7 linked regions of the Rattus norvegicus genome follow. Each later gene encodes a partner of the first gene's protein in a complex. Links are inferred from orthologs where the notes say so. Each region holds a gene or a part of one and is shown in the gene's direction. Other genes may lie near its edges. The genes, in order: Trrap, Meaf6, Smarca4, Ruvbl2, Mbtd1, Anp32e and Taf4.

Region 1 (3,500 bases):
TCACGTATTTGTGTGTGCGTGTGTGCGTGCATGTGTGTGAGTATGTGGTGCATGTGTGTTAGAAGTGAAGGCACGGGGTTGGGGAGTTAGCTCAGTGGTAGAGCGCTTGCCTAGCAAGCGCAAGGCCCTGGGTTCGGTCCCCAGCTCCGAAAAATAGAAAAAAAAAAAAAAAAAAAAGAAGAAGTGAAGGCTCATGTGTGCAGGGAATCTTCCTCCTTTGCTCTTTGCCTTCTCTTTCTGAGGCAGGTCTCTTAAGTCAAACCCAGAGCTCATTGATCGGTTAGTCTTCTGCAGACTCTCTTTATGAGATGAAGTCTCACTGTGTGGTCCAGGCTGACCTTTGGCCCATGAGCTTCCAGAGTGCTGGCTCGTGGGCATTTGCCATCATGAGTGGAGTTTTTGGGCCTTGGTGTTTGAGTCAGGAAGAGGTTGTTTAGAGCTGCTCAGAAGTCACCATGCTCAGCTCACGTTAGTGGGGCGACTAAGTAGAGGGAGGGAGGGAGGGAGGGAGGGAGGGAGGGAGGGAGGGAGGGAGGGTGGATGGATGGATGGATGGATGGATGGGTTTGTTTGTTTGTTTGTTTGTTTGTTTGTTTTTGAGACAAGCTGTTACTGTGTAGCCATGGCTGGCCTGGAACTTGCTAGGTAGACCAGGATGCTTCCTGCCTCTGCCTCCTGAGTGATGGATTTAAAGGTGTAAGCTATTATGCCTGGCATTTACTTATTTTAAAAAGGTGTGTAGAGGTGTGTGTGTGTGTGTGTGTGTGTGTGTGTGTGTGTGTGTGTGTGTGTATACCTGCGCACTTGTGCATGTGAACGAACACTTGCCTATGGAAGCCAGAAAAGGGCATTGGATCTTATGGATCTGGAGTTACAGGTGGTTGTGAACCACCTGTCATGGGCACTGGAAGGTGAAGGACAGGGTGGGGGTCCCCTCTGGAAGAGCAACAAGTACCCTTAACCACCAAGCTGTCTCTTTAAAGGTATGTGAGCCCTGTCACTGTCTCAGATATACCAGAAGAAGGCATGAGCTCTCATTACAGATGGTTGTGAGCCACCATGTGGGTGCTGGGAATTGAACTCAGGACCTCTGGAAGGGCAGTCGGTATTCTTAACCACTGAGCCATCTCTCCAGCCCCAACCAAGCTGTCTTTCTAGCACTGAATATTTTTTTTACTTTCTTTCTTTTTTTTTTTTTTCTTTCGGAGCTGGGGACCGAACCCAGGGCCTTGCGTTTGCTAGGCAAGCGCTCTACCACTGAGCTAAATCCCCAACCCCTGAATATTTTTTTTAAACAGGCGCTTTAAGCATTTATTTTCTTTCTTCCAAGGAGGTAATGCAAATTCAGTGTTGAAATTTGTAAAGCAATAGAACAATAAGAGTGTCGTGCCCACACTTAGTCTACGTGGGAGGCCATCTGTCCCTGTGGGCACACTTCCCTTTCAGAATGACTGCTGCATGACTGCACACGCACGTACACACTAAAACCTTTCTGGCGGTGCTCACTTAGGCTCGGTGCTGCATAAAGAGCTTGGGTGTCTCTGCAGCCTCTCAGACACAGTGTGACTGTGGTCTTCCTTGCTGTGACAGGAGCTGGTGACAAAGTATTCTCAGCAGATGGTGAAAGGCATGCTACAGCTGCTTTCCAACTGTCCAGCGGAGACCGCACACCTCCGGAAGGAGCTTCTCATCGCTGCCAAGCACATCCTCACCACGGAGCTAAGAAACCGTAAGGCCGCCTTTTCTCCCAAGGCCTGTGTAGCCTGGGCCATCTTTGGAGCAAGGCTTGCTGACTTCCTAGAATTTCTACAGGGTCTTAGCATGTCTGGTCCTTCATTATTGCAGCCTTGGGTCTTCAATTTTTAATTTTCATTTGTTTGCTCGCTCGTGTATGGATGTGTGTGTTTTACTTGTGTCTTTGTACAACTGTGCACCACACATGTGCCTTTTGTCTGCAGAGACCAGAAGAGGGTGTCAGATCCCCGAGACTGGAGTTTGAGACACTTCAGAGCTGTCATGTGGGTGTTGGGAATCGAACTAAGTCTTTACTGAGCCAACTCTCTAGCCCACTTATGTTTTCAAGACAGGTTTTCTCTGTGTAGCCCTGGTTGTTCTGGAGCCATCTGTAGACCAGGCTGGCTCAAACTCTGAGATCTGCCTTCTGAGTGCTAAGATACTAAAGGTGTGGGCCATCATACCCCGCCAGCCCTCTTTGAAGACATATTTTTATTAATTGTCTGTGCGTGTGCTGGGGTGAGGGTTTGCACACGAGTTCAGGTGCCCGCAGGAGGCCAGAGGCCTGAGATGTACTTGACTTTAGAACTAAGCTGGCTGTATGTCAGGTTTGTTCCAGAATCTAACTGTCCCGTGGGCTTGTCATCCATATCCAAGAGGTCAGTTCTCTTCTGCCTTTGGTACGATTGTGCCATCTCTCTAGTCAGTCTTGGTCAGTTCTCTAACACTGAACATTACCCGGACTGTCTTCGTGGGCAGGCGGCTTGTGTGGCCCAGTAGAAGCAGCATCTCACCTCACAGGGTCTTTGCTGTCTTTTCTCTGCCCTGAGCACTGGGGAAGGCTTGTGAGGTCTTTAATGTTCTTCTGTTTCCTAGAGTTCATCCCCTGCATGGACAAGCTGTTTGATGAATCTATCCTGATAGGCTCTGGGTACACGGCTCGGGAGACGCTCAGGTACAGCCTTGCTAGACGGACACAGGCCTGCTTGGTGCGATTGCTAGGGACTGGATCACCTGTACTAGGACTCTAATTAAGTGCAGGTCTGCTGGGCTCTCCTCACTTCCTGGATTTAGAATGGCCAGTAAGTTTGAAAGTCCTTAGGTTGCTTTAATAAAAAAAGAACAAATTTTTAACATTTTTGGAATTTTTTGGTTAAGTGTGCTCATGCACTCCTGAAAAGGTATAGAGGTCAATGATCAGCCTGCACAATTTAATAACCCAGACAGTATTGTTTATGCATAGAGTGGTCATAACATATAGAACATTAATTAACCTATTAGCTAACATGTGAGGTAGTCTCACTAGGTAGCTGTGGGTGACCTGGAACTCACAGATCCACCTGCCTCTGCCTCCTATGTGTTGCACTGCCATGCATGGTACATTGTAAATTTTGAGTAGCAAACACCATTTAGCGTGTGAACAAGCTGATGATCATTTGTGCTCTGGCTGGTGTTTCGGCTGGTGTTTGCTAGGTATTTTCCTGGTTAGTTTATTACTGTTGACTTGACATAATCTACAGCAAGGGTTCTTAACCCTGAAGGGGTCATGACCCACAGGTTGAGAACTTCTGCCTTAAAAGAAAATACTCTTGCCAAGAAGCTACTGTCAGTAGCTGATCTAGAAAGTCACCTGACAAGAAGGAAACTCAATGAAGAATTGTCGGATTGGCCTCTGGTCACATCTATAGGGTATATTCTTCATTGCTAATTAACAGGAGAGCCCAGCCCACTGTGGGTGGCACCATCCCTAGGTGGGCAGTCTTGGG
Region 2 (4,225 bases), on another chromosome or scaffold:
GATCTGATGTCTTCTGGTTTTCTTGGGAATTACATGCATATGTACACACAGACATACATGCAGGCAAAACACTCATATACATAAAAATAAAATTTTCCAGGATCTGATCTTTTTTTTTTTTTAAGCCCAGGCTAGCCTCAAATTCTGTTTAGTTGAGTCTGGCCTTGATTTTTTTTTTCCCCCTCAAAACGGTCTCACTCTACAGCTCTGGCTATCCTGGCTGTCTTCGAAATCACAGAGATCTGTCTGCCCTTTGTCTCCTGAGTGCTGGGAATAAAGGCATGTGCCACCATGCCTGGCCCTGGGAGGTTCTTATGTGAGCCAGGATGGCACGAAAGGAAGGGGTGCTAGATTCGAATCCAGGGATTTGTGCAGGCTTAGGCTTAGGCAGACAGTTTACCAACTGGGGTCTAGTTCTATCTCCAGCCATTGACTTTTTTTTTTTTTTTTTTTTTTTTTGTGAGAGACTGGGTCTTATGTAGCCCAGGCTAGCCCACACACTATGTAGTTCCTTGACTTTCCTAAGCCTCTTACCTCTGTCTTTTGGGTGCTAGAATTATAGGTATGCACTATTGGAGGGGAACATGAGAGAAGTGGAGAGATTTGTGTGAGGGAAAATTAGGAAAGAGGATTCGAAGAAAACTGAGAATTTCTCAGACCTGTTGAGCAATAGCCACCTAGGGCATAGAAACTCAAGGACATCCACACATGGGGCAAAGAATGCCACCTACCCTCCTAGTGAAGTTGCAGAGCACTGAGAAATGCAGAGAGGGGCTAAGGGTGTAGCGGTAGAGTGCTTGCTTCGTCTGTCCTGAGTTCCATCCCCAGCACCAATTAACAGTGGGCAAGCTCAACACGTGCAAACCAGCAGTGGGGAGGCAGAGGCAGGACGATAAACTCAAGGTCTGTGTTTCTGTTCAATACTAGCCTAGATACAGTTCTGGATCTGAAGATAAAAGCAAATTCTTTCATACTCCTTCCCCTCCGTCAAACCGTGTACAACAGGAGATCTGCTTGCCTGTGCTAAACCCAGGAAAAGGTTGGTTTTGGGATCTTCTCTGCAGCCCGGATGGTGGGGCGGGACCTTGCTCAGGTTTACCACCTGCAGTTGGCTGGTGTGGCAGGGACATCGGCGGGGAGACACAAGGGACATTTAACAGGCCTATGCTGCAGCTGGGTTCTCGATGCAGTGAACGTCTGTGGGTGTCTGTTAAGCTCAGAGGCCCGCAGCGGAGGAGCAAGGAATGTCCCACACGAACCAGTACCACTCCGCGCCGGCTTTCGCGCGCTGAGCCTGCCAGCTTCCCCGGAAGCCGCGCGCGCAGGCGCGATATGGGGGCGCGCCCCCTGGCGGCCGGCGGCGGCAGTGCGCAGGGTCCGCCTACTGGTCGCGCGCCGCCGCCTCCGCCGCCGCTTGAGCCCAACATGGCGATGCACAACAAGACGGCGCCGCCGCAGATCCCAGACACCCGGCGGGAGCTGGCCGAGCTGGTGAAGCGGAAGCAGGAGCTGGCGGTGAGTGGCCGAGGCCTGGACGCCGTCCCCGCATGGCCTCGCAGGCAGCTCAGGGAGCCAGGACGGCGGGCAGCCGGGGTCCGGGCGCTCTAGGCGGCCGGGCGCGGCGCGGTTCCCTGCGGCGGCGCGGTTCCCGGCCTGCGCTCTGTGGGGCGGGGCGGGGCGGTGAGGGCGCGGGAAGGGCGAGAGGCAGGAGGCGGGGACGACGCTCAGGTCGGGTTAGCGGGTGGGAAGGAGGCGGCTAGACCCTGGCCTGGAGAAGATGCACGATGGATTCTATAGGCGGCGCGTTTCAATGGCCGGGGAATGGGGTGTGTTTGAGGATGCCAAGGAAAGAGGCTGGCGGGAGACGCAGAACGCAGCCTAGGGAATTTGGACTGGTGACGCGCACCAGGAGCCGCCGGCACCCTGCTGGCTGAGCCCTCCAGGCTCCCGCCTTTTGCAACGAGCATCCGGGAGGCAAAGCTCACCTGAAGCTGCCCTTCCAGGTTTCCATAGCAACCGGCATCCACTGCGGGCGGCCTTTCCAGAGCTAGCAAGGAGGAAGCAGTTGATGTAGAAAAGATGCTTTAGAAAAGCTGTTCACCCTTCTCGCTGCTGGTGGCAACACATTTAGTGAGTGAGAATGGAGACAGCTCACGATCTGTCTCATCCCTGCTCATGACAGCTAGGTTTTGCCTCTGAAGTAGGTGCAAAATCTTGCATGTGCGTGCATTTTCTGAAGATAGACTACACACTCCATTCTATTTATAAAGGGGTCCATCACCCGCACTCTTCCACAAAAAAAAAAAAAAAAAAAACAAAAAACCAAAAACCAAAACAAAACAAAAAAAACAAAAACAAAAAAACCCGGTTCATTGTGGGTAAGCTTGACTTTACAAGTCCATATTGGGATTTCCGTTTGCTTAATGCTTGCTTTTCCCTGCCCCTGTTTTCACCTAGGAAACGCTTGCAAACTTGGAGAGACAGATCTATGCTTTTGAAGGAAGCTACCTGGAAGACACTCAGATGTATGGCAATATTATCCGTGGCTGGGATCGGTATTTGACAAATCAAAAGTGAGTGTCAAAATCTAGTAGTATCTACCCGTTTTATCCTCTGCTAATATTTACCTGTAGGTTTTTTTTTTTTTTTGTTTTGTTTTGTTTTAAAATATGGTCTTACTATGTAGCCTTGGCCAGCCTGGAACTCACTAAGTAGACCAAGCTGGCCTCAGATTCACAGATTACATAGCTCCTTCTCCCTCTAACTCCTGACTGATGGATTTAAAGGTATGGACTGTCATGTAGAGCTTGGGGTGTTTGCTTTTGGTATTTACTCTGCAATGAGATGATAAAGCTGTAGTGTGGAATGAGGTCGAAGCTTGCAGTTGTGCTCTGACTGTCTCATAGAGAAACCATATTTGTGATTAAAGAAAACAGGGCCCAGGGTACAGGGGTGTGTAGGTGTAAATGAAATACAGCGTGTGACTTAACTGTCTTCCACATGTTAATCAACCATGATATCCAATTACCATCTTTGTCATATCTCTAAGCTAATTGTACCACTATTGACCTGGTAATGTGATTCTATAAGAAAATAACCCGTAACTGGGGAGAATTTTTCAAATCTGTAGAAAACTTGAGATGAGATAGCATATGACTAGTCATTTTCCCACATATTCATGAGTTGCTAATTTACTGTGGGTGCACACTCTCTCTCCAGTGTATGAAGACATCAGTGTATGAAGACATCCGTGCATGCTTAAGAACCTTTTGTTTTGAAATAATTGCAGATTGGGATAGGAAGCTGCCAAAACAGTACACAGGGCTTGTGTGTTCTTACAGTTTTCTCTGATGGTTACATTTTACATAACTATAGAACATCGTCAAAATCAGGGAACCACAATTGGCTACTGCGTACGCACAGGTGTGTGGCATTTTATCATATGTGTAGAACTACGAGATGTAAAACTAGGCCCAGGAGACGTTGCTCAGTGAATAAAAGAGCCCAGTGCACAAGCCTGATGACCAGAGCTCAGTTTCCAGTACCCGTGTTAAAAAGGTGCACATCTGGCAGCAGGAGAGATGGCTCAGCGGTTAAGAGCACACCCTGCTCCAGCAGAGGACAAGAGTTCGATTCCCAGCACCCCTGTCAGGTGCCTTACAACTACCTGTAACTCCATCCCCAGGGGATCAGACTCTGTCTCCTGTGCTTACAGGCACTCCCCCACCATTTAACACACATGTAAATGCACATCTGGAATTTTAGCACACTGTGGTGGGAGGTGGGGACAGGAAAATGACTTGGAAGCTTGCAGGTCAGCTACTCAGAAGTATGCAGTGCTGTCCAAATAACAAGGTAGAAAGCAGGGGCCAGCGGTGGAGAGCTGCCCTCCGGTTAGTGTGCGTATAAAGATGCAGACCCATTCTGCCATCACGTATCTCCTCCATGTTCCTCCTCTGTGGTTGCATTTCTGTTTCCCTGTGCTTTCCCTCCCTGCTAACCATCAAAGACTTAGACGCTTACACTACCAATCTTTGCTTCTACGTACATTAGCAGTTACTTCTTGAAAACGGCAAGACATCTCGGCATGTAATATATAGCTATAAAATTGACACCTATAGCTTAAAAATTGACACCGATTCCTTTAGATCCTCTCGGTTGGCCCCACAATGCTTTGCTACTCCTTTTTTTTTTTTTTGTGATTCTTTTTTTCGGAGCTGGGGAC
Region 3 (4,300 bases), on another chromosome or scaffold:
CAGACTTGGGGGGCAGAGGCAGGTAGGTCTCAGTTTGAGTTCATCCTGGTCTCAAGATCCAGTTCCAGGTCAGCCAAAGCAACACAGACAAACTCTGTCCTGAAAAACAAAAGCAAAAAACCCCCCCAACCAACCAAAAATACCATGTGTTTGCCAGTGTTGATAGCTTGGGTCTGTTTTCCTAGCATTTTGGAGGCAGTGGCAGGGGGATCACTGCCAGCTATTTAATGGCCTGAAACATTCTTTGTTCTACTTTGTGACAGAAAACTGCTTTTTGTTTCTTTGTTTAAAAGTCTCACTTTGTATCCATGGCTGCCCTGAAACCTTACTATGTAGAAGACCAAGCTGGATTGGTACATTCATGCAGCACTCAGGAAGGAAGAAGGAAGATCTCTGAGTTCGAGGCCAGTCTAGTCTTGAGAGCAAGTGCCAGGTCTTAAAGAAACTTGGTCTTGGGGGCTGGAGAGATGGCTCAGTGGTTAAGAGCCCCGACTGCTCTTCCAGAGGTCCTGAGTTCAATTCCCAGCAACCACATGGTGCCTCACAACCATCTGTAAAGAGATCCGATGCCCTCTTCTGGTGTATCTGAAGACAGCTACAGTGTACTTATACATAATAAATGAATAAATCTTAAACAAACAAACAAACAAACAAAACCCCCCAGAGATCCACCTGCTTCTGCCTCCAGAACCCTGCCCCGCTACCACCAAATACTTTTTTTTCTTTTTTTTTTTTTGGAGCTGGGGACCGAACCCAGGACCTAGCAAGCGCTCTACCACTGAGCTAAATCCCCAACCACCACCAAATACTTTTAAAACCAACCAGAGGCCTGGAATCTCCACATTTGGACAGAATTATACGCTCATTTCTCCAAAGCTAATGGCTTTCTTCGAAATCATAAGGAAAATTGTGACCATTGCTGTTTCTACCTCACACCCTGTGCTTTTACTTATTCATCTGGTTTATGAACCAGAGGATGGCTAGTAGCCGATGGCAGCTCAATAAATATTTGGAAAGCTAATTACTGGGCCTCAACAGGTTCTGCAGGAAATGTGGCCAGGACAGAGCCTTGCAGAGCAGGCAGGGCCGTGCCAGAGCCAGGATCAAAGCGTTTCCCAGGCCTGCCCTTACCCCCGCGTGGGTTCTGTCCCGTCCTTGGGCAGTCTGGCCACCTCTCGGCTTCACTTTCCTCCCAGGGTGCTCATTTCCGAGCCTAAGAACTTCCCTTTCATCATTACTATCTCCCATCTGGACGACCCAGTACCCTCCCCCAACATCTAAGCGTCGCCGCAGTGCCGCCACCTCTGCGCATGCCCTTCGGCTTGAGGCCCAATTTCGTGTCTTGAACATAAGTGTGCGCTTGCGCAGAGCCGCCCAGAGCCCCCCAATATGGGCGGTGCACCAGGATCTCGTGCGGCCTCTGGACCCGCCCATCTTCTCACTACCTCAAAGGACCAGTGCGCATGCGCACAACGAATGGCTGAGCATGCGCACAGAGAGCGGAAGGGTGGGCTGGCGCGCGCACGAGGCCGGACGGGCAGCGGAAGCAGGGGAAGTGGACTGGGTAGAAAGGGAGGCGGGGGCGCGCATAGCGGGCGCGCGGGCTGCGTGTGTGCTGGGGGGGGCGGCCAGCCGAAGCCGAGCGGGCACGCGCGCGAGGCTTTCCCACTAGCTTGGCAGCGGCGGCGACGGCTTCTTTGTTTCGTGAGGAGAAGCGAGACGCCCACTCTGTCCCCGACCCCTCGTGGAGGGTTGGGGGCGGCGCCAGGAAGGTTACGGCGCCGGTACCTCCAGGTAAGGAATGGAGACTCCCGGGCGGAACGAGACTCCCGGGGCTTGGGGAAGACGGTTTGAATGAAGCCGAGGCGCCGGGAGGGGGAGGGGGCAGCTGGGCGACCAGAGCGGGGTCGGGGTACGGCGGCGCCTGAGGGTCAAGAAGCCTTGCGCGCGCTGCTCAGGCCGCAGTGCAGCGAGACCGCGGCTGCTTCCAGGCTCTGTGGCCGGCGAGGCGGGTGACTCTGGCCTGTGTGAAGGCCGCGCGCGCGTTCTCGTGGGGTCTTGGGACAAAGCTCCTTCCTTTTGGCGTTCCAGAGATCCAGGTCCCCCCCACTTTAATTTCTGTGAATCTTAACTTTGAACAGTGGCTAGGTGTCTTGGGCTTCTCTGGCCTCGTTTGTGCGATTCTAATGCCCTGTGGTCGGGCGTCGGGAGCAACATTTTACCTCAGATATTGATGCCCTGTGTAGCTTGGGCACAGTCATGAGCCCTCTTCGGTCCTCAGACCTCACTTTTTTTTTTTTTTTACTTTTTGATAAATTTCATTATTGCAGATTTTAAATTTCTTCCGTGGCTTCAAAATGTTTGCCTAAAAAGTGAAAGATGCCTGGGAACGTTTGCTCACGGCCGCATTGTTTTTCTTTTGAGTCTCTTGGCTCTTCCCAGTTTTTCAGATAGGGCTTTTTATTTTAAAACCTCGAAGGCAATTGTTTTGTGCGGGTCGGAGGGGCATCTTCTTGATCCTCTTTACCTCCAGTGACTCCTCAGGAACTGGAAACAAATTTTTTGTTTGAATTGACAGACAGGCTTTGAGTTTGATGCCCAGCGTTGTCTGTCAGCTAGCTGTGTGGCCTTAGGCGAAATCGCTAAATCTCTCCAAACCTCTTGGTTTCCTCCTTTGTACAAGGGAATCACTTTCACTGATAGGATTGGGAAAAAATAGCTCCTGCATCATCATCATCATTCTGATTTTGAAGACAGGATCTTATAACCAAGGCTGCCCTCCACCTTCTTATGTAGACCAGGCTGGGCTTGAATTGCTCATCCTCATCTTCCTGCCTCCATCCACCTCCCAAGTGCTGGGATAGCATATTCAGCCAGGCTTCCTGTACTGTTATTGACTGGTCCAGCAGATAGTTGAATTCCTACTTTGTGTTACATGTCTTAGTAGGGGAATGGGCTGTAATGGAACCATTACTCCTTGGCCTGCATGAGTATTGGTTCATAAAGAAGTACTTGGTTTGTTTTGACCTCCTCCCCTCCCCCTTTCTGGTCTCACTGTGTAGCTTTGGTTGTCCTGAAACTCTGTTATCAGGCTGGCCTCAAACTCACACAGCTCTGCCTGCCTCTGCCCTCTGAGTGCTGGGATTAAACTCTTGCTTAGCCATGCCGTTGGGCCCATTTGTGTTTTGTTTTGTTTTTTAATTAAATAGATTTTATTTGTTTATTTTATGAGTCAGGGTTTCTCTGTGTAGCCCTGACTCTCCTGGTACTTGCTTTGTAGACCAGGCTGGCTTCTAGCTGAACTCAGAGATCTCTCTGCCTCTGCCTCCGCCTCCGGGAGTGCTGGGATTCATTAAAGTGTTGCAGTTCCTTATTTATTTGTGTGTGGAGGTCAGAGAACAACTTTCAGGGGTCAGTTCTCCCCTCTATCATGTGGGTTCCTGGGATTGAACTCAGGTGGTCAGTTTTCTGTGGGGTACTTTACCTGTTGATTCGTTTCTCCTGCCTAAGCTCTAAGTGTGTTGAATTTTTGTGGTGCTGATCAAAGTTGATCCTGTACATGCTAGGGAAATGTTCTACCACAAGCCAGTACCCAAGCATGGTTTTGATCTTTTTATTTTTATGAATGTGGGATATTTTTGTTGTTGTTTGTTCATTTTGGGTGTTGTTGGGCCTGGAATCCATGGCCTTCTGCATGTTAGACATGATATATTCTCCCCAATCATTTAGCCTCACAACCTATCATGTGACAGGACAGAGTGGTTGCCTGAGGGAGCAGTGGTGGGCATAAGTCTAGAAGCTGCATGGAGGAGGACCCTTCATTTACAATTAGGGAAGATGTGTCTCCCCACCCCACACGCTGAGAATGGAATGGTGCCTGCAGAACTGTTGCTCTGTCTGTCTGGTCTGCAACAGTGCAGTTGGAGCAGGCAGTAGTGAGACAGGACAGGAGGGTCCTGGGGAGGATGAACTTGGGCGATTGGTACAAGATCCAAAGCAATAAATATTTGTTGCTGCTGTTTGGCCTTGAACTTTCCAGGCCATTGCTCTTCTAGCCCCAGATGTCACTGCTTTGAAAGTGATGAAGTCACTGGTGAAGTCTGGGGTCCTGGTTTGGTGGTTTGTTTGTGGCTGGATGTGAAAGGTGGTTTTTTTTTTTTTTTTTTTTTTTTGAACTTAAAAATTTTTGTTTAATTTTGTGTGATATATGGAGGTCAGAGGACAACTTTCAGGAGTGGATTTTCTCCTACCACGTGTGTCCTGGAGATTGAATTGCAGGTCATCATATTGGTAGCAGATG
Region 4 (3,734 bases), on another chromosome or scaffold:
CAAGATTTCCAAGCTGGGCCGCTCTTTCACACGTGCCCGAGACTATGATGCCATGGGCTCCCAGGTGCTTGGCTCATCCCCAACCCAGCACTGGAGTGTTTCTCCATCTTCTGTTATGTCATGGGGTTGGATGCTGGGTTACCTCCCAGTGTGGGGCTCCAGGCTGTGTCCTGGCTGCCCTCACACCTGCCGTTGACCCTGTAGACCAAGTTTGTGCAGTGCCCAGACGGAGAGCTGCAAAAACGCAAGGAGGTGGTGCACACCGTGTCCCTCCATGAGATTGACGTCATCAACTCCCGCACTCAGGGCTTCTTGGCTCTCTTCTCAGGTCAGCTGCCCTTCCCCCAACACCTTGAATGCTCTGGTACATCCTTTGTCTCCCTCAGCGTGGCTCACCCCCACCCCCAGCTTTTCTGCCTCTTTCTTGGCGCTGTTAGCTTTCTTTACAGACTTGCTGCTTGTCTCTGTTCCCCGTCTGAGTGTGTCCTTCCCTACACTGCCCTCGAGTCCTCCCTCGGGTCACTCCCTCTGTCCTTTCTGGCCCTGCTGCTGCAGCCCAGAGCCCTCCTCCCCAGTGCTCCTCTGTCTCTCTCTTCACCCACCCCGGTCCTGGGCTCAATCTCTAATTCTAACTGACACCCCCATCTCTGGCAGGAGACACAGGGGAGATCAAGTCAGAAGTCCGAGAACAGATCAATGCCAAGGTGGCAGAGTGGAGGGAGGAGGGCAAAGCGGAGATCATCCCTGGGGTGAGTGGCCGCAGCCCAGGAGGGTATGGTTAGCCCTGAGGTACCAGGTGGAGAGAGCTTGATCTGTGCCCTAATGGCTTCCAGGTGCTGTTCATCGATGAGGTCCACATGCTGGACATTGAGAGTTTCTCTTTCCTAAACCGGGCCCTGGAGAGTGACATGGCGCCTGTTCTTATCATGGCCACCAACCGAGGCATCACCCGGTGAGCAGCTTTAGAGGCCTCTGCAGCAAGGGCACTCTGGGCCAGGGGTTGATGGTGGCCTCAAGGTGAATGACCATCTGCTGAGTTCCTCTCCTTACTCAGCTTGCCTCCAGTGTGGTCCTCACAATCCTGGACAGATAGAAAATCTCTTCAAGTTGGATTTAAACTTGTTGGAGCAGGCACCCAAAGGGCCCTGGGAAGTTTACCCTATGCTGAGCACGGGGCTATCTATTAGATATGTCACAAACTGCTGTGATCAGTCCGTCACTCAGACCCCGCCACTTAATCGTCACAGACCACATGTATTGACCTAAAGACACTGTGGACACTGGGCATGTCAGCTCCAACCACAGTCCTGGTAATATGGAGGCTGAGAAAGGACTCAGTTCTAGGTCAACCTGGGCTTCATGAGACCCTTTGTAGATAAGAGAGTATACAAACTGGTTTGGATAGCCAGACTTTTCCTGACGATGGCTCATGACTTCATCAAGCACATCACCTTGTCTCGTGTTTTTAGCATGGCGTCTTTGTTGTTGTTGTTGTTGTTGTTGTTGTTGTTGTTGTTGTTTGAATGTGGGGGAGGCAGTATATGCAGGTATGAATGTAGGTGTGGGCAGAATCCAAAATAGTATGGCAGGTCCCCTGCAGCTAGACTTAGAAGCAGTTGTGAGCTGCCTGGTGCAGGTCCTGGGACTCTCCCTGGGCTCCTCTGTAAGAACAGTATGTATTCTAACCATCCCTCCAGCCCCTCTTTCTTCTCTGACTTACTTTTATGTGTGTGTCTGTGTGTGTGTACACATGCATGTGGTACCCACAGATGACACAAGTTTTCAGGCCCCCTGCAACTGCAGTTAGGTGTAGCTGTGGTGAAGGCGGATGGCACACAGCCCTAAGAGGCTGGGACCTGGCTACCTTGCCTGCACTTCATTCTCCCCACTACTCCCACTTCACAGAGTAGATCAGCAAAGCTGAGCAGCTTGCCCAAGGCCATAGATGTGAAGGTAGCAGGGGGGAGGGGAGGCAGCCCTAAGGTCCCCTTTGCTAGTTGATGTTCACTGCAATTCCCCAGTCCCTGAAAGTCCATGAGTGGTAGGTTAGATCTGGCAGCTGTCCTGAGCCAGCCCCTGGAGAACAGTACTCTCATATCGATGGCTAAGCTCCCATGCCTGGAACAAACTGCCATGGGTCCCATTGCTCACCAGGAACTGGGTTTGCCAGGGCAGCAGGGCACAGGACAGCCGCTAGTGTGCACAGCTGCCGAGAAGTGTGTTACTGGGGATGAGAGCCAGTGCTCACAGTTACTGAGTTCCCAAGTGGGCTATGGTGGCACGTATGTTTTTGAAAAGCATCCATTAACAGTTTTCCCTGACCCCCAGGATCCGAGGCACCAGCTACCAAAGTCCCCACGGCATCCCCATTGACCTGCTAGACCGGCTGCTCATTGTGTCAACATCGCCCTACAGTGAGAAGGACACCAAACAGATCCTACGTATCCGGTGTGGCATCTGCCCCACACTGAGTCGGGAAAGATGGGGTGGGAGGCCCTCCTGTGCCCGTGGCTCTTTTAGCCTCACCATCCGTGGTTCCGAGACCCCAGTATCCATGCATATTATGGGATGGGTGGGTGATATGCCTGCCGTTTTGGCCTGCCTTCCCACAGCTGTGAGGAGGAAGATGTGGAGATGAGTGAGGACGCCTACACAGTGCTGACCCGCATTGGGCTCGAGACCTCCCTGCGCTACGCCATCCAGCTCATCACAGCGGCCAGCCTGGTGTGCCGGAAACGAAAGGTCAGCCAGCGAGTTAGCCTGGAGGACTGAGGGGTGGCCCTGGGGTAGCCCTTGAGCCATGGTACATGGATATTTAGTGGGGACTAAGAACCACAGCCGGTGCCCGGGCATTTTAGAGAAAAAAACCTAGTGGTGGGGGTGGCCCCGTGCTGACATCAGCTGAGCCCCACCTGCTCTCAGGGCACGGAGGTGCAGGTGGACGACATCAAGCGCGTATACTCCCTCTTCCTGGATGAATCCCGCTCCACACAGTACATGAAGGAATACCAGGACGCCTTCCTCTTCAATGAGCTCAGTGAGTATCCCAGGCTGCTGCCACTGTGGGAGGGGCTGCATGGGAGCACCCAGGAGCTCCCTCACATTTGGCTTCCCCTCTCTGCAGAAGGTGAAACAATGGACACCTCCTGAGCTGACACTGCACCCCAACCCTTCCCAGCCTGTTTTCTACAAGTTCTAACACTGTGACTTTGTATAAAATTATTGAAAACTGGAGTTCTGCTGTATCCTCAGATCACACAAAAGGACATCGGAGTGCAGTTGTAAAGCCTTTATTGGGAGGGATGGTTAGAACACCTGCTGGCTCCAGAAGAATGGGGAGTTAGTGGGTGGGCATCAGAAGAGGAGAAGGCCGGGGAGGTGGGGAAGGTCACAGGTCATTGGTTGAGTCCTGGGACCCCCACAGTCAGAGCTACTGAGACGGCAGGGCCCACAGCGGCAGCTGAGGGCCACAGGAAAGGAGACTATGGGGTCTACACCAGGTGGGCAGCCAGGGAGGCGGACAGAGGCGAAGCGCAGCTCACGGTAGGTGCACACTGGCTGAGGCACGGGAGGCAAGGCAGCTGGCAGTACTCGAACCTGAGTGCAGGGTGGAGAAAGTCCTCATCTGAGTGTCCCTCCCCTGTGCTGCGCCCCCTCCCCACCCCCTGCAGCCATTCTAGGCAGAATGCCCACCTGGTCCTGCCCCCACAGTAGCTGTGATCCCTGCCCAGGTG
Region 5 (3,500 bases), on another chromosome or scaffold:
TCTATATTTTTAGCTGGTCTGGAACTTACTATATAAACCATAGCTATCTTCCTGCCTCTGCCTCCAGAGTGTTCCATTAAAGGTGTGACAACTACACCCAGCTAACCATTCTTTGTCCTTGCAACTCTCATGGATTGACCAGTGACCTTTAATTTCAGTGCCTTTACCTTGGGTTTTTCTCTAAGATGGGGTTAAAGCAAAGATTTGTTGAAAGTATAATTCAGCTACTTTAGTTTCCTGAACAAAGAAAGAGTATTAAGTGTTAGACTGTTCTAAACCTAGTGCTGCAAGAAGTCGTAGCTCTCGGTGGTAGGGGCGCTTGCCTAGCATGAGGCCATCGATAGATCCCCAGTCTCACACACGCACGCACACGCGCGCGCTGAAGTCTGTCCTTGGAGTAAACAAGAGTCGCTTTTGCATTAAGATAAGGAGACATATACGTGTGTCTGCACAGGGGCTTCTTTGTAATATGGTACCGGAAGCTCTGAACACCACCAAGTAACGTAGGACATCCTCAATCCCATACTTGGAGGTGGAGACAAAAGGACTTGGGAGAAGCCGTTTACCTTCTACTGCATAGCGTGTTTGAGACTGGCCTGAGCTATTTGAGACCCCAATCTCAAAAATAATATATTTTTTAAAAAAAAAAATAGAATGAGAAGAAATTACCATTACCACCTAAAATCTGAAATTTCATGTACTGAGTTACTGACATTTTAAGGTTATGCTAATTTTAAATGTACTGTTACCTAAACCGGTTGTATTTTTTAGGTTACACAAAACTTCCTTTTAAATGGTTTGACTACCTCAGGGAAACCGGCTCCATTGCAGCGCCAGTAAAACTGTTTAATAAGGTAAGGTTGAGTGGGGCCTGGCCGTGACGTACGAGTGCAGTTACTCTTGGGTTGAACTTCTTCGGCTTATATTAGAATTTCCTAATGAAAATCAACAAAGGAAACTAAGTGTTTTCTTTAGAGAAGCAAGTCTTTCTTTCTTTTTTAAGTGTAAAGGAGGGTGCTTGTGCCGTATGGTGGCACAGCTGCGGAACTGTTGTGAGCTTTGGGAAATTACTTCAGATGTCTGGTTTGTGTCCTTCTGAGCATCGCACTGATACTGGATTTCTCTGTGTTAGGATGTTCCAAATCACGGATTCCGCGTGGGAATGAAATTAGAAGCTGTAGATCTCATGGAACCACGTTTAATATGTGTGGCCACAGTTACACGAATTATTCATCGTCTCTTGAGGATACATTTTGATGGATGGGAAGAAGAATATGACCAGTGGGTAGACTGTGAGTCCCCTGACCTCTATCCTGTAGGGTGGTGCCAGTTAACTGGATATCAACTACAGCCTCCAGCATCACAGTGTAAGTTACTGTACAGAGAACATGTTCTTTTCTAAAAACCAACTAATCCCCCAGAGGGCTGTCCCTTATAAATCACCTCGTAAGCTCACAGCACAAGAATATATCAATGTCTGATGAGTTGCCAGGTAAAATACTAAGACCCAATACTATCACAGAATTAGACTGTGTGTGCCACGGCAGTGTGAACTCCATATCAGTTACATAGCAGTAAATTGAGAAAACCACAAGTCACCAAATTAAACTACACTGTGGTTGAACTGCATACTGTAGGCTGGAAATGCATTGTTCATAAGTGCTGTTGCGTAAATAGTGAGGTACATGAGGGTTTTTTGGTTTTTTGTTTTTGTTTTTTTTTTTTTTTTTTTAGGTTTTGGTTTTTTGAGTCAGGGTTTCTCTGTGTAGCCCTGGCTGTCCTGGAGCTCATTCTGTAGACCAGGCTGATCACAAACTCAGAGATCCGCCTGTCTCTGCCTTGGGAGTGCTGGGATTAAAAGCATGCTCTGCCTCCACCAGACAAGGCTCATTCATGGTTTTGTAAGACCAAATACACCCTTTAAAAGCATTCTTAAGGGATGACGATCTTCGTAAAGAATTGTCTAGCCATTCTCTGTTACCAATTTTCCCTTTTATTTTTCAGCATCAAGAGAAAGCCAGTCAGCTTCTTCAAAACAGAAGAAAAAGGCTAAGTCCCAGCAGTACAAAGGACATAAGAAAAGTGGGTCACCATGCGTCTGCATACATTGTCTAACTGTTAAGCAATTAAGGTCACAGTACTCTTGCACAGAAAATTACATCCCTGTGAGAGCTGATGTTTGTTCATTATGTATTATGCTTAAAGGTGCAGTATGACATAAAAGGCAAACCTTCTTGATGTAAGAAACAGTTTTAATTAACAGGAGAAACAATCAGGTATTCTTTAGCTGTGTTTCAAGCACACAGCTAAAGAATAGAGCCTTATAGTGATTCTTGAAATAATTATAAACCTACTTAAAGTTAATTCCTTTTTTAAAACTTTATTTAATGAAGCAAAAAAAAGCAGTGTTTGCTTACAGTAGCTATCATATCAACTCTTATCTGGAATGATAATCCTGAGAAATTCACGTTTATTAAGAAGGACTGCTGATGAGATAGCTCAGGTAAAATGAAAAAGTGGAGGCTTAATGTGGTGGCACACTCCTTTGGTCCCAACATTCAGATTATAGAAACCAGCCTGGTCTACAGAGCAAATTACAGAACAGCCAGAACTACACAGAGAATAAACCTGTCTCAAAAATAAATCCAGTAAAGTGAAGAATGATAAGTCTCCAAATGAACACATTCCCACATACAACGGTATATCACAGCAGACACAGCAGAGTGAGAAAAAGATCTGTGGCTGGAGAGGTGGCTCAGCAGTTAATAGCACTGTCTTGCTTTTCCAGAGGTCCTGAGTTCAGGACCCAGCAACCACATGGTAGCTTACAACCGTCTAAAATGGGGTCTGATAGCCTCTGACATGCAGGCATTCGTGCAGGCAGATATATATATAGAGAGAGAGATATAGATATAGATATAGATCTTTTTTTTTAAGCCTATCAGCTTCAACTCATGGTGACCTGCATAGGCATGCATAGCACTTTCCTCTGTGGGCAAAACCTCCCACAGACCCAAGATTACTTTGCCCATCAGGAGCTTGATAATACAGTTGTTCACCTACACGTGCTTGGGGAGTACTGCTAGACCATTCACAATCAGAGTGTGGTCTGCGGATTCAAACACGATTCCGGAGAATTCACATGTGAATTTCATGTCCCTAAATTAACTAAGGCAGGTGTGTCTACTCAACTTTCTGTAAAGAGAATTTAACAGGCTTACTTAAACTGTCTTACTTTGTGTTGGACAAGAGCTTGAGTAAGGTTTCATAAGTATCTAAGACATTGAAGTCAAACAGTGGTTTTAGCCAAGCATGGAGACAACATGGCTGTAATCCCAGCGTTCAACAAGCAGAGGAGAAAGATTAGGAATTCAATGTTATTCTCAATTCCAAAGCAAGTTCAAGGCTCACCTGGGCTACATGAGAACCTTAAGGTTGGGAAGGAGAGTGAGGGGTTTCACACGCATAAGTGTGTAGGGTTTGTCTGCCTATTAACATAA
Region 6 (2,566 bases), on another chromosome or scaffold:
CATAGTCATAAAAGTGATCAAGGGGCTATCTAGCAAAGATCTTGATTCAAGTCAAAGGATCCATTAAAAAAAAAATCTGGTGGGTGTCTTTAATCACAGCCAGTGCTCCACAGAGAAACCAAGTCTTCAGAAACGACACAGAAGCTGCATAATGTCGTATGATCATAAGCTCAGCCATGGAGAAGTGAAGACAGGTGGATGCCTGGGTTCTGGGAGTAAAGATGTGCTAAGTGTGCCCTCACGGTGGTGCCCCATGTTACCTGGAGCATGGCAGGTCTAGAGAAATACATTTTTATAGTCAACATATAACCAGAACCATATTTGATGTTAGGGTTCAGACCATCTGTGCCTCAGTCTTTAGAGTGGCCTATTTTAAAGTGGTAAAGCCTGTTTTGCCATGGTAACTCGTGGGCGGATGTGGTGTATGCCTGCAATCCCGGCACTTGGAAGGCAGAGCCGGTTCATTCAGGAGTTAGCTTGGGCTGGATCAAGAGATCCTGTGTCAAGCAAACAAGCAGTTGTACAAACTGTGACCGCAACTCCCTCATTGGTGCTGTTGCATTTCCAGTACTCACCAGCACGCTGGTACCACGCACAGAGAGCATCTGCATGTTGGAGAACGTTCTCTTGAACTGTGGTAGTCCAAGGCACAGCCTGTGTTTATAAAAGTCTGGGTGATTTGTTATCTTCAAGAGCAAAGGAGGCAGAAACTGTCCTTTGAGACACAGCTAAACTGTGATTTCATTGCCCTTGTTAAACAGTAGCAGTCCATGTAATGTTTATTCATTCTCACATTGACTTTGAAGGATGAAGAAGACGATGATGATTACGTTGATGAAGGGGAGGAAGAGGAAGAAGAGGGTGAGTTGTATTCTCCATAAGCACATTCTGAATCTAAAGATAACAGATACTGAGTCTGGTGGGGATTGCCCTGGCCCCTGAGCCTTTAATTTTGTTTATCATAATATGCCTAGACATGTAGAGAAGCATTTTGAAAGAGTAATTTAATTCGGCCAAAACAACAACAAAAACAATTTGTAACCTGTACTTAAAGACAGAAACAAGGGGCTGGAAAGATGACTCAGTGGTTAAGAGTACTGGCTGCTCTTCCCGAGGCCCCGAGTTCAGTTCCCAGCAACCACGTGGAAGGATGCAAGGGAAAATCAGGCATGGTCACCCACGCCTTTGATCTCAGCATTTGGGAGGCAGAGGCAGCGGAATCTCTGATTTTGAGGACAGCAAGGGTTATGCAGAGAAATCCTCTTGAAACACACACAGACCAAGAGAAATGAAGTGAAAGTTTATTTGCACCCTGGAATCTGACTTGCAGAGCATAAAGCCCCAGCACAGAGAAGAATGGCTGGACACCGATGTCCCTTTAGTGTCCTCTTTACCTAGTCCTAAAGAATCGTGTCTACCTAAAGGCGTCACATCGCCAAGCACTTGGTCTCTTGATTGCCCTGGCAGTTGTGGTTGGTTTGTGAGCATCTCTTTTTTGTAGCGTCAGGTTCTCTGAAGTCCCTTATATTCTGAAATTGGAAGAAATTCCAGAGTGGAAACAGCTTATACCTTCTCATGACATTCATGTTTTACTAAGATTAAAAGCTTTGTAAAATAACAAAAACTCAATTGTTAAAATTGAGTGTCTTATATATTTCCATTTTAGAAGAAGAGGGTCCTCGGGGAGAGAAAAGAAAGCGAGATGCTGAAGATGACGGGGAGGAAGATGATGATTAGACCCTCCAAGGAGAGGCTGCCTGACACTCCCGGTCGTGCAGTAGGGCGGTCACATTGTCTGTGTTTCTTTATGTATGATAGCTGTCCCAGTAGGAGATGATGTGTAACTTTTTATAGGAAAAGTGTGGTTTTACTATTTTGGCCTTACCATTCCGGATAAGATTTGCTAGTCTGTTAATCATAATGTACTTAGAAAAGAATTCTCCTTCATCTTCCCATGGTGAAATTCTCTAGCATTGTATTTAGATTCTGGATTTTTATAATTCATGCTTAATGTATTAGACATTTTTAGCCCATAATTAAAACATGGTTGCTTTTACACAGGTGTAGTTTGGTGCATTTCATTCATAATGTTTTAAAGTTATTTATAAATTAACGAATTACACTTAGCTGTAATATGAATTGGCAGTAGTCTTGAATTATAAAGCTGGATTTTGTTTTGTTTTTTTAGAGGCGATCCAGAGATCATCAGCGTGAAGGCAGTTTTTGGGGTGGGGCGAGGGTATCTGAGGACGTTCCTGTCACAGTTTGGAAATTAGAGGCAGAATCAGGGTTCTCTCTTCAGAAGGCAGGTCATGGGCTCAGTCCTGCGGAGCCATAGATAGTTCAGGGCTCTGTCTTTTCTCAGTCCAGACTTGCTGTGGAGCCCCCTCTGTGGGTGACTGAGCGGGCTGTGGGGTTCAGGTGTGCATCCCCTCCCAGCTGCTCCTCTTCTGTCACCTTCATTGCTTCATTCCTGTCCGCATCCAACAGACAGCTGGCAAAGCTGCAGACACCCCTGGGCTTTCACCTGTACCTCAGCCATCTCTCTCAGTTTCGAGCAAGTGAA
Region 7 (4,177 bases), on another chromosome or scaffold:
TGCTTTCTCATTGTCTCCTCCTTTTTACTGGCTTTCCAAACCTGGAGGCTGATGTTCAAGAACAAAATTTCTGTTGTCTAAGGGTTCCCTAGCACACTTTGCAAGTGAGGGCACTGTGTTTTGTTTTGTTTTGTTTTTTTGGGGGTGGGTGGGGGTGGGGGTTTCAACGTGTACAGTTCCTTAGATAGACTATTGCTTAGAGAACAGCTGGGGTAGGGTGGGGTTTGTTGTATAGCAGTTATAACTCACTTAGTTTAAAAGGCTGGGACAGGATCAGCACACAGGCTGAGAGTTAGAGAGCAGCCTGCTTTAGAGAGGAAGAGTCCTCACCTCACCTTTTTGATATAAGTGTCTCATGAGACCCCAAGCTGGCCTCCAACTAAATATATAACCAAGGTTGAACTCCTTATTAATCTGCCTTCACTTTCCAAGTGCTGGGATGGTGTGTATAGGTAGTACGGGCTGGTAGGAAACGCCTCTTTCAAGGCACGAAAGAAAAAAAAATTACAATGTCACATTCCTCATTCCCCAGTGCTGGATCTGTGCGGACTGTGGCAAGTCTCTTCAGAAGTGACGATGATTCTGGGAGGGTCAGTTGCAGTGAGGTCCCAACAAGGAGCTTTGCCATCTGGAATTTGTTTTTGGGGCCTTTTCAAAAAATGGAAAGACGAAATCATAGCAACGTTCAATAAGACGGCCTTTTGGTTAAGAAAACACCCAGGAAGAAAGGGGCGAAATGGTAACGAAAACGTTCCCACAAAGTGCTTGCAAGCATCAGTTTAGAGGATTTACTACCCCCTCCCCCACGAGAAAAGTAAATAAAGAACAAATCAGCTTCCGGATGTCCAGCTTCGGTGTGCACGGCCCTCTTACTAACCGCTGTAAGTCAGAGGAGCTGACCCGTGGCGTCCGTGGCGTCCTCTGCGCACCTCTCCGCCCCGAAAGCGTTTTCTTGCCAGGACTCCTGCTCCTCACTGACCGCCGGGGCCCCGGGAGCGCCCGCGCAGCTGTCGCCGCCCGCCCTGGCCGCAGCCATTTTGGAAGGGTGCAGACAAAGGGCGAACCCCGCAGCCGGCTGCAGCGACCCACCCGGCACCGAGCGCCGCCGCTCTCCCCGCCCGGCTGCCATTCCCACCAGCGCTCTAACAGCCGACCAGCACCCAACACCTCGCCTGCTCCCCGGCCTCTGGCGCTCGCAGCCATTGGCCGCGTCTTTTAAGAGCCGGCCGCAGCCAATCAGAGGCCACAGAGGCGCGGGCGGGGGCGGTGCGTGTCGGAGCGCCTGCGCACTAGGCCGCCCCTCCCCCCTCCCTGCGCGCCGCGCCCCCGCCCGCCCCGCGCACCGCCCCCCGCCCGCCCCGCGCCCCGCTGGAACCTCCTCCTGCCCAGGCGCGCTCGGCCGAGCGGCGGCGGCGGCGGCGGCGAGGAGGAAAGATGGCGGCGGGCTCGGATCTGCTGGACGAGGTCTTCTTCAACAGCGAGGTGGACGAGAAAGTGGTGAGCGATCTGGTGGGCTCGCTCGAGTCGCAGCTGGCGGCCAGCGCGGCCCACCACCACCACCTCGCGCCGCGCACGCCCGAGCTGCGGGCCGCGGCCGCCGGCGCGCTCGGGAACCATGTTGTGAGCGGCAGCCCGGCCGGAGCCGCGGGCGCAGGGCCGGCCGCCTCCGCCGAGGGCGCGCCCGCAGCGGCGCCGGAGCCGCCCCCCGCAGGTAGAGCGCGGCCGGCGGGTGGGGGCCCGCGGCGCCCGGGCTCCAGCTCACCGCGCCGCTTGCTTGTCCCCGCAGGGCCCGCGCCGGCGCCCGCCAAGCTGAGGCCGCCGCCCGAGGCCAGCGCGGGGCCCTGCCCCGTCGCCGCCGCCGCCGCCACCGCTGCCGCCGCCGCGGGGCCGGATCCCGCCGCCGCCGCCCCGCCCGCCGGCCCCGGCGCCTCCAAGCCCGGCCCGCCTGGCCCGCCCGGCCCCGGCGCCGCGCAAACTTTGAATGGGAGCGCCGCGCCGCCCACCGCGCCGCACGCCGCACCTGCTGTCAGCCCGGTCAACAACGGGCCCGCGCCGCCGCCCGCCGCCGGCTCTGTCATCCAGGCGGCCCCCGCGCCCGCCGCGCCCTCGCCGCCCGCCGCGCCCGCGCCCGCCGCGCCCCCGCCTCCCGCGCCTCCAGCGCCCGTCGCGCCAGCCCGGCCGCCCGGGCACCCCGCCGCGCCCGCGCCCCCCGTGTCACCCGCTGCCGCCGCCGCCGCCGCCGCCGCCGCCGCGCAGAACGGGGCCGCTCCTGCCCCCGCCGCGGCCTCCGGGGGCGCCGCGGGGTTGGGCCAGCCGGGCGCGGGCGCGCAGGGGGCTAAGGCCGAGGCGCCCAAGCCCGGACCGGGGCCCGGGCCGGGGCCGGCGGCGGCGGCGGCGGCGGCGGCGGGGGGGGTCGCGGGCGGGGGCGCGGCGGGCGGTGTGCTGCTCGGGCCCGCCATGCCGGGCGCGCTGCCGGGGCCTGCTCCCGGGACCCCCGCGGGGCTGGCGAAGGGCGCGGCCGCAGCGACCCCCAGCCTGCCTCGGACGCCGGCGGCCACCACCGGCGCTATCCGGGCCACGCTGACGCCCACCGTGTTGGCCCCGCGCCTGCCGCAGCCGCCGCAGAACCCGACCAACATCCAGAACTTCCAGCTGCCCCCAGGTGAGTGGCAGCGCGCGGCGGGAGGCGAGGGCGGGTGCACCAGGCGGCCCTGGCGTTCCAGGAAGTTCTGGGCTGCATTCTGGGGCTGTGTCCTGGCAGGGTGGCACGCGAAGCCGAGGGGCGGCCTCTGCCCAGGTGACCTGACAGTTTTGAGGGCTTCCCAGTCCTGGAGCTCCAGAGCCCTCAGGGAACTCTGGTGTCCCGTTGGGGTGCTATGGGCTACCACTGTGTGGTCGAGGGGCCCTTCTTTCTCCTTCCTCAGGTGAGGTCAAGAGAGGGCGAACTAACTCAGGGGCAGGATGGTGAAGTCTGTGTGGAAGGCGTGGGCTTCCCTGTTGTCAGGGAAGCTGGTTAGGGACTCCATGCAGGGAGCAGGGGTTTAGTGGTCATCGGTGCCTGAAAGAGGACCCTGAGTGTTTTTGTTTTGCCATCCCTGGAGGTCAGCAGGACACTCACTGCGCAGGGGTCTGCGGATGCAGGAGATCATGGAGATGTGGATGCTGGGGCTCAGAAGCTGTCTCAGAGCTTGCAGATTCCATGTAGGCTCTGACTCTGTTGTCCTCGAATTCCTCAGGGCCCTTGGGTTTGATGAGTGACTCCTTTCCCCGCTTGTAGACTGCTTTTGTTTGAGAGTCCTCTGCAGAAGTGTTCCCACTGAACCCTGGGCCGGAGCGAGCACTGAGCGCTCCGCTCCTCCCGTGTTACACAGTGACATGTGCAAGCAGTAGTAGCAGCGCCGCCCGCCCACCGCGGTGGCAGTAGTAGAGAATTAGAAAACATGCTGCTACTGTGTCCCCCTGCTTTCTGAAAAGTGGTTTGGGTCACGTTGAAAGAGCTAAAGCATCTTTAGAATTCAGTTTTGCTGAGGTCAGTGAGGACCAGGAAGGCTCCGAAAAGGTTCAGAGATACTTGCCCTATCTATGGGGATACAGGACCCAGAATAGTTAGTGAGGTTGCAGGGGCTGCCATGCTCTGAGGAGGCGCTGGGTGTGACATAAGGCCTAGGAGCTGCAGATGTCTCTTGCCACACATCTGGGGCAGGGTGTGTGTGTGTGTGTGTGTGTGTGTGTGTGTGTGTGTGCGCGTGCGTGTGTGTGATTGAAAGGTCTTGTTCATTATCTTCACTCTGACCTTTGGGTGGAAAATATGGCTGATGTTATAGTTTAAGATTCATTCTGTGCTTGTAGTCTATTATTCGAATAGACTCCCCAGTGCAAGGATGTGCCCATGTTGTCCTTTTATCAGGAAAGCTGTCGTAGTCAGGTGCCATGACATCCTTCCATAGCGTCTTGACTTTCCCTGGTTCCATTGCCTTTGAGTGCCGTACAAGTAAAGTCCATCTCCCCGGGAGAAATGACAATGCCATTTGCAAAGGGCATTGGCTGCCGTCTCCATCACAACTGCCTCCTTTTTCAGGTCAGGTTCAGGGTTGGTGTTTGAGCAGAAGGTAACTCCTTGGGGAAAAAGTAAATAGGTCCATCATTCGCACTTCTCTACGTCTGCATCAGCCCCATG

Evidence for each region.
Region 2: Trrap (region 1) and Meaf6 share a complex: the UniProt entries of both Homo sapiens proteins name them as parts of the nuA4 histone acetyltransferase complex. The link is inferred for Rattus norvegicus from reciprocal best matches to the Homo sapiens genes TRRAP and MEAF6.
Region 3: Trrap (region 1) and Smarca4 share a complex: the UniProt entries of both Homo sapiens proteins name them as parts of the BAF53 complex. The link is inferred for Rattus norvegicus from reciprocal best matches to the Homo sapiens genes TRRAP and SMARCA4.
Region 4: Trrap (region 1) and Ruvbl2 share a complex: the UniProt entries of both Homo sapiens proteins name them as parts of the SWR1-like complex. The link is inferred for Rattus norvegicus from reciprocal best matches to the Homo sapiens genes TRRAP and RUVBL2.
Region 5: Trrap (region 1) and Mbtd1 share a complex: the UniProt entries of both Homo sapiens proteins name them as parts of the nuA4 histone acetyltransferase complex. The link is inferred for Rattus norvegicus from reciprocal best matches to the Homo sapiens genes TRRAP and MBTD1.
Region 6: Trrap (region 1) and Anp32e share a complex: the UniProt entries of both Homo sapiens proteins name them as parts of the SWR1-like complex. The link is inferred for Rattus norvegicus from reciprocal best matches to the Homo sapiens genes TRRAP and ANP32E.
Region 7: Trrap (region 1) and Taf4 share a complex: the UniProt entries of both Homo sapiens proteins name them as parts of the TFTC-HAT complex. The link is inferred for Rattus norvegicus from reciprocal best matches to the Homo sapiens genes TRRAP and TAF4.

The regions. Positions count from the first base shown.
Region 1 is NC_086030.1:14,920,908-14,924,407, reverse strand, and holds part of Trrap (transformation/transcription domain-associated protein), read left to right. Parts: intron 1-1,590; coding exon 1,591-1,729; intron 1,730-2,610; coding exon 2,611-2,689; intron 2,690-3,500. UniProt on the Homo sapiens protein: Adapter protein, which is found in various multiprotein chromatin complexes with histone acetyltransferase activity (HAT), which gives a specific tag for epigenetic transcription activation.
Region 2 is NC_086023.1:142,628,011-142,632,235, forward strand, and holds the start of Meaf6 (chromatin modification-related protein MEAF6), read left to right. Parts: upstream 1-1,425; coding exon 1,426-1,515; intron 1,516-2,457; coding exon 2,458-2,573; intron 2,574-4,225.
Region 3 is NC_086026.1:28,442,319-28,446,618, forward strand, and holds the start of Smarca4 (transcription activator BRG1), read left to right. Parts: upstream 1-1,500; 5' UTR 1,501-1,794; intron 1,795-1,933; exon of another isoform or gene 1,934-2,099; intron 2,100-2,196; exon of another isoform or gene 2,197-4,300. UniProt on the Homo sapiens protein: ATPase involved in transcriptional activation and repression of select genes by chromatin remodeling (alteration of DNA-nucleosome topology).
Region 4 is NC_086019.1:105,037,987-105,041,720, reverse strand, and holds the end of Ruvbl2 (ruvB-like 2), read left to right. Parts: coding exon 1-64; intron 65-204; coding exon 205-328; intron 329-654; coding exon 655-749; intron 750-833; coding exon 834-952; intron 953-2,328; coding exon 2,329-2,448; intron 2,449-2,612; coding exon 2,613-2,742; intron 2,743-2,922; coding exon 2,923-3,037; coding exon of another isoform or gene 3,038-3,124; coding exon 3,125-3,150; 3' UTR 3,151-3,234; downstream 3,235-3,734. Other genes in the region: Lhb (lutropin subunit beta isoform 1 precursor), read right to left, coding at 3,355-3,597. UniProt on the Homo sapiens protein: Possesses single-stranded DNA-stimulated ATPase and ATP-dependent DNA helicase (5' to 3') activity; hexamerization is thought to be critical for ATP hydrolysis and adjacent subunits in the ring-like structure contribute to the ATPase activity.
Region 5 is NC_086028.1:79,377,759-79,381,258, forward strand, and holds part of Mbtd1 (MBT domain-containing protein 1), read left to right. Parts: intron 1-771; coding exon 772-854; intron 855-1,132; coding exon 1,133-1,367; intron 1,368-2,004; coding exon 2,005-2,082; intron 2,083-3,500. UniProt on the Homo sapiens protein: Chromatin reader component of the NuA4 histone acetyltransferase complex, a multiprotein complex involved in transcriptional activation of select genes principally by acetylation of nucleosomal histones H4 and H2A.
Region 6 is NC_086020.1:186,174,158-186,176,723, forward strand, and holds the end of Anp32e (acidic leucine-rich nuclear phosphoprotein 32 family member E), read left to right. Parts: intron 1-806; coding exon 807-861; intron 862-1,666; coding exon 1,667-1,737; 3' UTR 1,738-2,066; downstream 2,067-2,566. UniProt on the Homo sapiens protein: Histone chaperone that specifically mediates the genome-wide removal of histone H2A.Z/H2AZ1 from the nucleosome: removes H2A.Z/H2AZ1 from its normal sites of deposition, especially from enhancer and insulator regions.
Region 7 is NC_086021.1:187,458,243-187,462,419, reverse strand, and holds the start of Taf4 (transcription initiation factor TFIID subunit 4), read left to right. Parts: upstream 1-1,377; 5' UTR 1,378-1,434; coding exon 1,435-2,662; intron 2,663-4,177. UniProt on the Homo sapiens protein: The TFIID basal transcription factor complex plays a major role in the initiation of RNA polymerase II (Pol II)-dependent transcription.